2 linked regions of the Callithrix jacchus genome follow. The protein of the gene in region 1 purifies or fractionates together with the protein of each later gene. This does not show direct contact. Links are inferred from orthologs where the notes say so. Each region holds a gene or a part of one and is shown in the gene's direction. Other genes may lie near its edges. The genes, in order: TBPL1 and GTF2A1.

Region 1 (3,813 bases):
CCTCTGATAAGAGACCTGAATGAAGTGAGAATATTGAGGGGAGAATATTCCAAATGAAAGCAACAGCTACTGCAAAGCTTCTGAGGCATGAACAGATTTGGTGTGTGTGAGGAGCCATGTAAGTTCCAGTTATGTGACTGGAGTGGAATGAGAGTTGAAATGTTTATGTACTTGGAGTATATTTATTTCAAGTATATAGAGTGAGAGGTTTCTATCCACCTTGTATTTTTAATTAATCAAATGTCTTTTTGGATTAATATGTTCTTTGTGTTTAGCATTGTACTTGATTTCAGAATGGGTGATTTGGAGAGCAGTTATTGCAGTCTTGGTTAAGCTTGGAGTAGTACTTGGACATTAATATGGCTGTATACAACAGAACCATATGTGAAAAGTAATGCTTATGAGGTAATCAGATTTTTTTCCCCCCCAGAAAGTATTAATGAAGCTTAGAAAACCTAGAATTACAGCTACAATTTGGTCCTCAGGAAAAATTATTTGCACTGGAGCAACAAGGTAAATGCTACTTGAATTTTTTATTTTTATTTTTTACTTTTATCCTCAAGGAAAGGACATTGTCCTAGATTTAACAGCAAAATTATATGTAAAGCTTGCTGTGTTCCTCGGGGTAAAAATTTATTTCCTGTGTGACTGATCATCTTTTCCTTTCCTTAAAACCATAGTGAAGAAGAAGCTAAATTTGGTGCCAGACGTTTAGCCCGCAGTCTGCAGAAACTCGGTTTTCAGGTAACATTTTCAAACACTATCTAAACTACAAATATTGAAGGATTTATTGTTGTAGAATTAAAAATTGTAATAGACTCAAGAAATCACTATACATACTATTCTCGTGATTGAACTTTTTCTAGGTTTTTAATACTGCCCTTCAGCGTGAAAATTAGTAGCAAAATTTGGCCATGTGGGTATTTGTAAAGGATCCTAGCTTTTTCCCTAATTCCTTTCCCATAAAGGGACTTGTTTCCTCACAGGTTAATTTCCTTTTCAACTCTTTTTAAGTTTTTTCACTTCTGACATACACATACAAAATCATTTTTGGTCATCTCAAGAATGCCAGGTCAGGATGGTAAATAGAGAACTGCAGAGGCCTGTTGACATGGGCACACCAGCTGGCAGGCTCTCACACTTGTAACGTGACTGTCACCGGCATGTCAGCCTTATCAGTGTAATTTGATATCGGTATACCTTTGAATAAAATAATTATGTATTATGGACTTGCTAGATCACTTGCAAATAATAGAGAAGTGAAAGATAAAAATGAGATATGCTCCCTCAGGGTGAAGGCAAGGCTGTTTGGGATCGAGACAAATTTGTAGAAGTGGGGATGGAAAGTTGCGTTTCCCTCTGATGACTCAGTCTACTCAGTCCTTCTGAAGTAGACGGTGATAGGAAAAGACTGAATGGCTAGTGGGAGAAGGGGTTCATGCTTGAGGAGGGAGGCAGTAGAGAGTCTTGAGTTGTACTGTGATTTGAGAGTGCTGCCACTTTGTGGTTTCCTGGCTTTCTGCAACTGCTGTGTGCAAGACTGAGCTGGAGGATAGTTAGCGCCTCTGAAATTGTGATTTTAGGAGGAATGTTTGAAAAATAACAAGATGAAACAGTTGAAGATGCTGGTAGGAGTGGCCGAAGTTATTACTGTTAAGAGAGCATTATTTTCGGCCTTGGAACTTCTTTTCTTAGCATGACATCAGAAGTGTAGAGAGAAATCCCGATTAGTTAAAAACAATTTTGTCACTCTATCCCCAAATTTCTGTACTAATCTTACAGAAATGCCATTTTACCTAACTGCATATGAGAAAAACATCTGACTTTTGGAGCCCAGTGTACAGTCTGTATTTACTGACATTTTAAAGTGACATCTTTTCCATTTTTGCTCTAGCAGGATGACCTGGCCTTAAATTTTTTCCCTCACTATTCCCTCTTTTCCTAGTAGTTTTAAGTATTTCACTTAAAGTATTTAAAAAAAAATTACACATATGATTAGAAAGACCCATACTGTTTTAATCATGCAAATACCTCAGGTTTTAATTTTTTTAATGATGTTTTTGAGCTTTTTAAAAAACAAAGCTTTCAATGCTACGCAACTTACAGTACTAAACATACACTTAAAATGTTTTTATCTTGTTTGCTCTTGTTTTTAAGGATTGACAATTATTAAGGATTGCCATTATGAGCAGACTTTTTTGTTTGTTTCAGAATAAATTTATTGAGCTTTACTTCTCTCCTAAAGGTAATATTTACAGATTTTAAGGTTGTTAACGTTTTGGCAGTGTGTAACATGCCATTTGAAATCCGTTTGCCAGAATTCACAAAGAACAATAGACCTCATGCCAGGTAAGTCTTTGAAGCAGATTCTCTTGATAAATTACCAAATTTGAAATTACCAGTCAGGCTATAAACACTTATATTAATTGTGGCTTTTTTTGTGTAGTTATGAACCTGAACTTCATCCTGCTGTGTGCTATCGGATAAAGTCTCTAAGAGCTACATTACAGATTTTTTCGACAGGAAGTATCACAGTAACAGGTATTCTATTATATCGTTACCAAACTTGTCAATTATGGATTGAGTGATACAGGATGCTCATACCAACATAGAAATAATGTCTGATTTGTTCCTATCTGTCACTTCTGCCCTTTAGGAGGCAGTCTCCTGACTTTTAGCACTGTAGATGTGTTTTACCTATTTTTGTACTATCTACAAATGTTACACATATTATTTTGTGTCTGTCTTCTTTCACTCAGCATTATCTTAGTGAGATTTATCTGCATTATGTTCTGTATAATTGTATGTAGATCATTCATTCTTATGTATGGACATTTGAATAGTTTCCAGTGTGGAGCTTTAAAAATATTCTGGTGTGTGTATCCATAGTATGATATATTTTTTTTAATTTATGATATCTTACATTTCAAATACTCATGAGAAACTGATTTTATAAATTTCACAGAGGTTTTACATAAGCAAAATATTAAATATAATTGGTACCTGTTTATTATGTTTATCTTGCTGTATCTTTTGAATCTTTATTTGGAGAAGGGGTAGTTTCAGAAGACTAGGCATTCATGTCAAAGGGTAGCATTAGCATGTTGTGTGACTTTTTAATGGTACTATAATGATTATAAAGTGTACAGAGGCATTGCTTGAGAGTCAGGCCCAACCTTAGGTAAAAATGAATTAAGATTTCTTTAGTGTCCTTGAGCTTTGTTTTTTCTTTCTTCAGTCCTTAGAGGAAAATAACAATTTAATCTCTCAACAAATAAACTTTAGTTTTAACTCATCCCATGGGTTTTTCCATTTTCCTTGGGAACTTTCAAAGCGGATTCCAAGATCCCACCTGAATCTTAAATATGGGACAGCAGGGGACACGTCTGTTTCTTCCCTTCTTTCTGCTCTCTGTTTCTACACTTTGGAACCTGGACATCTGAGAAGCTCCAAAGTCTATTAGTAAATCTCTGCTAAGTATACAATAAAACAATGCATATGCAAAACTGTTTACTGAGTTACTAGATATTAAAACGATAACAAACTGAAGACAATTGACCTGGTTAAGTGGTATGCATTATTTACTTACACCAGGAATATCCTGTGAAACGTTAGTAATACTGAATTGGTTCCCGTGAGCAAAGCATAGCAGCGTGGGGGTAAAATGAGTCAGGAAGGACCTGACCAAGACAGGATGTGGTTAGGACCTTTAGAGAGTTTACAGTGGGTGAATTTGTTAGTTTCCTGGGTCTTTCAAAAGCAGTAAGTGTATATTAATGAAGCCATTTTTATTGAAATAAATTTTATTAAAAT
Region 2 (4,530 bases), on another chromosome or scaffold:
GTGAGGGATTCCATGTACAAAGCGTTTGGGAGTATGTATATAGGGAGGTAACAAGAAGTCCTCTCAATATGCAGTAAAATTTACCAGGAATGGTATTGTTTAGTGTAACTTTACAATTGGGCTATCACCTGAATATTAAATAAATCACAAATGTTGATTGAATCACAATTTTACATTGCTAAGAACACTGATTTCCTGTGATTTTTTTTCTTTAAGTGTTCCAGACCATGCAGCTGTGCAGGTAACTGGAAGTAATTGTTAAGAGGGGAATGGATTTGGTGTGAAAATAAATCTCAAGGTTCATAGATATTCTCCACACCCATTGATAATCTCCCATTTTCTGCGTATTAAAGGCCCCTGCTTTCTCTAATCCCTTTCTTCAGGTGTTGGCAGGCTGCATTTTTTTTTTTTTTTTCTCTTTGGTAAGATGCCTTTGACATTCTTCAAATCTGGTTTCACCAGCAAAGAACTTTTCGTTTTGCTCTGTCTTTGGAAGACAAACTCCTTCACTCATCCAGATGACATTTCAGGTCCCTCAAAATTCCAGGGGCTCCGTTCTGCTTGTAATGTTGATATAAAGGCAGGATTTGTTTGGACAGAGGAGGTCAAAAGCTTATTGGATTGCACTTCAAGACACGGGCACAGCCGCCGTGCTCTCTTATAACTAGAGGCCAAGCGATTTGGGTCAAGGGCATGTGTTTCAATGTGATCAGTCACTACACGTTGGCCATGCGGAGTAGTGGGATTTTGGCAGTATTTTTTAAAACCAGGGAAAGTTATTGTGCTGTTATAATCCAAAGGCTGGTGGGGTTGTCTCCCCTACTCCCCGCACCGCATTTCCACCACCGTGACAAATTATTTAAAGTACGTGGGCTAGTAGGGAACTAATCTCTGGGTAACCTAAGTAAGCCTGGTCTTCGTAGCGGACCCAGTGTGGAAACAAACCAAGTCAGAGGTTAGTAACTCTGGAATGTGAAAGTGGGCCCCAATCGGCTTTTACTCCCATTGGGAAATTCTACATAATTCTGCCCGCGAAAGACCCACCCTCGGCGAGGAGCGAACGCTCCGAGGCTCACAGTCAAAGCCTCGCTGACAAATCAAGAGATGACTCCGCATTTAAAACCGTCCCGAATCGGAACCCGCCAGAGGCCGGAAGCCGCACCACGTGACCAGTTCTCCGCGGCCATTCCTAGCGAGGCAGTCGCTACCGCTTGTCTCATTTCCTAGCTCCTCCAGCGCGGGACCGGGCGGAAACGTGCGACAGGAGGCGGTCCCACCTAGCTTTGGACTGGAATGTCACTAGAACTCGCGCCTTTTCCAGAAACGCTTTGCAAGTACTTCACCGCAAAGAACTGCGGCAGACTTCCGCCTGGGTGCCAACCACGTGATCACGCGAGAGTTGGAGAGGCGTAGGTCCGACTTCACTACTTCACTACCCAAGCTCCGCCAGTCGAGCACCCCCACCGCGCGTGACGACGCGGCTCGCGGCGGCCTCCGCCCCGACGCGCCTGCGCACGCGGCTCTCGCGGTGTCTCGCGCTCAGCCCCGCCCACCTCTGCCCCCGCCCTTTCCACCCCTCCCTCCCCCATCACCCTGTCTCTCAGCGGCGGCGGCGGCGGCGGCGGTTCGCGCAGCTTGTTGGCTCGCTATATAAAGGAGAGAAGCGAGCGGACCGGACGGCTGGAGCTGCAGCCGGTGGCAGCAGCGGCGGCGCAGGGAGCGGTGACCGGTGGTGGTTTCCCTCCTTGGCGCGGGGTGGGGAGCGGGCAACGCCCCCGGACCCCTTAAGGGTCGTGGATTTTTTTTTAAAAAGACGATTCTCGAGGTTTTTAGCTGCGGGAGGAGTGCCCCCCTCCTCCTCCTCCTCCTCCTCTCCGCTCTCCCCTACTCCTTCAGGATTGATTTTGTTTAAGTTTTTTTCCCCAATCTTGCGGTGACTTGGGTCACCCTCGGGTGTTTTAGTATTTTTTTTTTTTGGTTTTGTTTTTATCTTGTTTTCTTGGGGTTGCCCCCTCTTGTTTGTGTTGTGTGTGGAAATGGCGAACTCGGCAAATACAAACACCGTGGTAAGGACGTGGTTCGGTGGCCGGCGGGGGCTTCGTTCAGGCGGCAGCAACGGCCGGACCGGGCGGGGGCGGGGACGGCGGCGACTCCCGGCCTCGACTCTTCAGCCGCCCGCGCGGCCGCCGCCGCTGCCGCCGCCGCTTCCCGCCTCGGGCGGATCGGGCCGGGGCGGCGGGCGGCGGGCGCGGGGGGGCGCCGAGGGCTCGCGGCTCGGGGAGGGCGGGGGCGCCGGCGGGGCCTGGGGCCGCCGCGGGCCGGGTCGGGCCGCGGAGGCGGTTGGGCCCGGGCGGGCGCGCAGCCCCGGCCCCAGAACCCGGCCCCCGGGAGGGAGGGCGTGAGGGGAGCCGCCGCTTCCCCCCGAGGGGCCCGTCCGCGCTGGCTAGACGATGGCTCCCCGAGCGGCTTAAGAACAAAAACCGTGTCTGGGGAATCGGGCGAACCCCTGAGACCCACCGTGATCCACTTTAATGCAGTGGAGGATTAATGGCTACTTTTGGGGGTTACTTAGGTTTTTTCCTGGCAGTTGTGCTTTGGGAACCTTCACTGGGGCCATTTTATGTTTAAAAAAAGGACTAAGGTTGTTTGAAAAGCACTTATCTCAGTTCCTTCCGAATGGGTAAAATGGCGAAGGGGAAGCAACCCCCCCCCCATCGTATCTTCGACTAGCAAAAGCACCAAAACAAACAAAAAAAGCCTACAGTGGTCCAAGTGTCCCTGCTTTCGCCTTGAAATTTGCCTACTTCTTCCCGTTGGTCCCTTTTTGGTTATTTGCGATCACGTAGGTTTGCAAAAAGCAGTCACATAAATAACCTTTTCAGTCACCAACGCAATGTGATCACTAGTCCCCCCAACTCTTATTTTTATATGACAATAAAACACGTTTTTGCCCGGTCCCAAATGCCGCAGACTAGCCCGCGGCCGCCCGACACCGTACCGTTGGCGACTCGGGTCGATCCATCATGGCTGCGGCCGCTTACCCTGCTTTTCAGTCCCTGAGCTTTGTGGTCCTCCTCCCTTTGGCTGCCCTGTTTATATAGAGCCATTGCCGCTCTCTAATATAGACTCTGCCAGGATGGGTAGGTGCTTTTCAGGCCTACGTCACCGCCTCTCCATTTAAACACCAGATCCGGCTTTAAATAGTGAGAGCTGCTGAGAGCGGGGCTGGGAGGTGCGTGCTCCCGAGGCGAGAGCCAGGCGCGTGCGGAGCTCAGTTTATTTGTAGGTCCTTTTTTCACGCTGTAATTTCGCGCCTGTCGGGGGCTGCTTTCAGAGCCCCAAGTTTTTGTTTTGTTCCTAGCAGCAGCTAGGAATTACCTTCTTTTGTTTGTTAGGGGAAATATATCCGAATCGCTGTCCGTTTTTATTTACAATTTTCAAAATATGAAAACAAAGAATTTTTGATCAGATAGTCTAGTGATTTTCCTGTGTGCATTATTTTCAGGAATTAAAAAAACTGCTTTCTACAAAGTGTTAGCTGCAGAGGACTTGGTTTTTGTTGTATTTTGTTCAAATATTCAGGAAACAGGTTAGAAATACAGCTCCTAATATTTCATTATGTTTTTCTATAGTAAATCTAAAAGACACGAGGCCTTTCAGAGAAATAGATAAGTGCCTGAAGCTTCAGAATAGGACCATTTATGTGTAGGGGAATCGTGAGTAATTAGAGGGAAGAGACTTAGTGCAAACTGGATTTTAAAAAACTGTTAAGTAGAACTTTATCGCCTTGGATATTATTAACACAGTATCCAGTATAAAAATTATTTCAATTTATTTTTCAGCATTGCATCAGGGAATTAACATTTTTGAAGGAAACCTCCTAAGAAATCACTTAATAATGCCACTAGTGGCCCTCTGATAAACCAGTTTTCAAGTTTGAAATACCTGTCTTTTTAAAAATCAGGACAAACCTAAACTATTTCGTGAGAAACGGAAACTTTGACTCAATAGAGTGAAGAATTTTAGGTACTAGTTTATAAATTGCTTATTTCAAATAATGCCTATGTGCCCACATAGTTTTCAAAAATTCGTGTCTTGAGTGCTTTTCAAATTGTGAACAATTCTAAATTATTCATTGGGCATATACTTTGTGAAGCATACACGTTTCCCTTCTTTAAACTATAGTGCTTATGAAGCTGTTAAGTGATCAAGTTGTGAGTTCATTAAGGCACAAAAATAAAATCTTAAAGAATGATTCATTAAGTAGAGGAGTACCAGAAGAAAGCAAATTTATACCTATATATCTCTGGATCTCCAAGCAAAAGGTTTTTAGAGGTAACTGATTTGAGGAACACCACACCATCTAGTTTACTGAAAAGCATTATGTATTGTCAATTTGAGATTTATGCTCCCAATTTAAAATACATTGCCCTTCTAATGCCTTGAGGAGTCATTATTGATTAAAAAACAAAACACTATAGAGATACTTTTGTAATTCAGCAGTTAAATTAATTTAGTTAAGATGATGTC

Evidence for each region.
Region 2: the proteins of TBPL1 (region 1) and GTF2A1 purify together in Homo sapiens (affinity purification with mass spectrometry; 5 studies listed by BioGRID and IntAct, counting the BioPlex papers as one, with this or other methods). This does not show direct contact. The link is inferred for Callithrix jacchus from reciprocal best matches to the Homo sapiens genes TBPL1 and GTF2A1.

The regions. Positions count from the first base shown.
Region 1 is NC_133505.1:140,665,165-140,668,977, forward strand, and holds part of TBPL1 (TATA box-binding protein-like 1), read left to right. Parts: intron 1-430; coding exon 431-513; intron 514-680; coding exon 681-744; intron 745-2,245; coding exon 2,246-2,349; intron 2,350-2,446; coding exon 2,447-2,541; intron 2,542-3,813. UniProt on the Homo sapiens protein: Part of a specialized transcription system that mediates the transcription of most ribosomal proteins through the 5'-TCT-3' motif which is a core promoter element at these genes. Seems to also mediate the transcription of NF1. Does not bind the TATA box.
Region 2 is NC_133509.1:116,182,136-116,186,665, reverse strand, and holds the start of GTF2A1 (transcription initiation factor IIA subunit 1), read left to right. Parts: upstream 1-1,595; 5' UTR 1,596-2,036; coding exon 2,037-2,066; intron 2,067-2,998; exon of another isoform or gene 2,999-3,072; intron 3,073-3,842; exon of another isoform or gene 3,843-4,026; intron 4,027-4,530. UniProt on the Homo sapiens protein: TFIIA is a component of the transcription machinery of RNA polymerase II and plays an important role in transcriptional activation. TFIIA in a complex with TBP mediates transcriptional activity.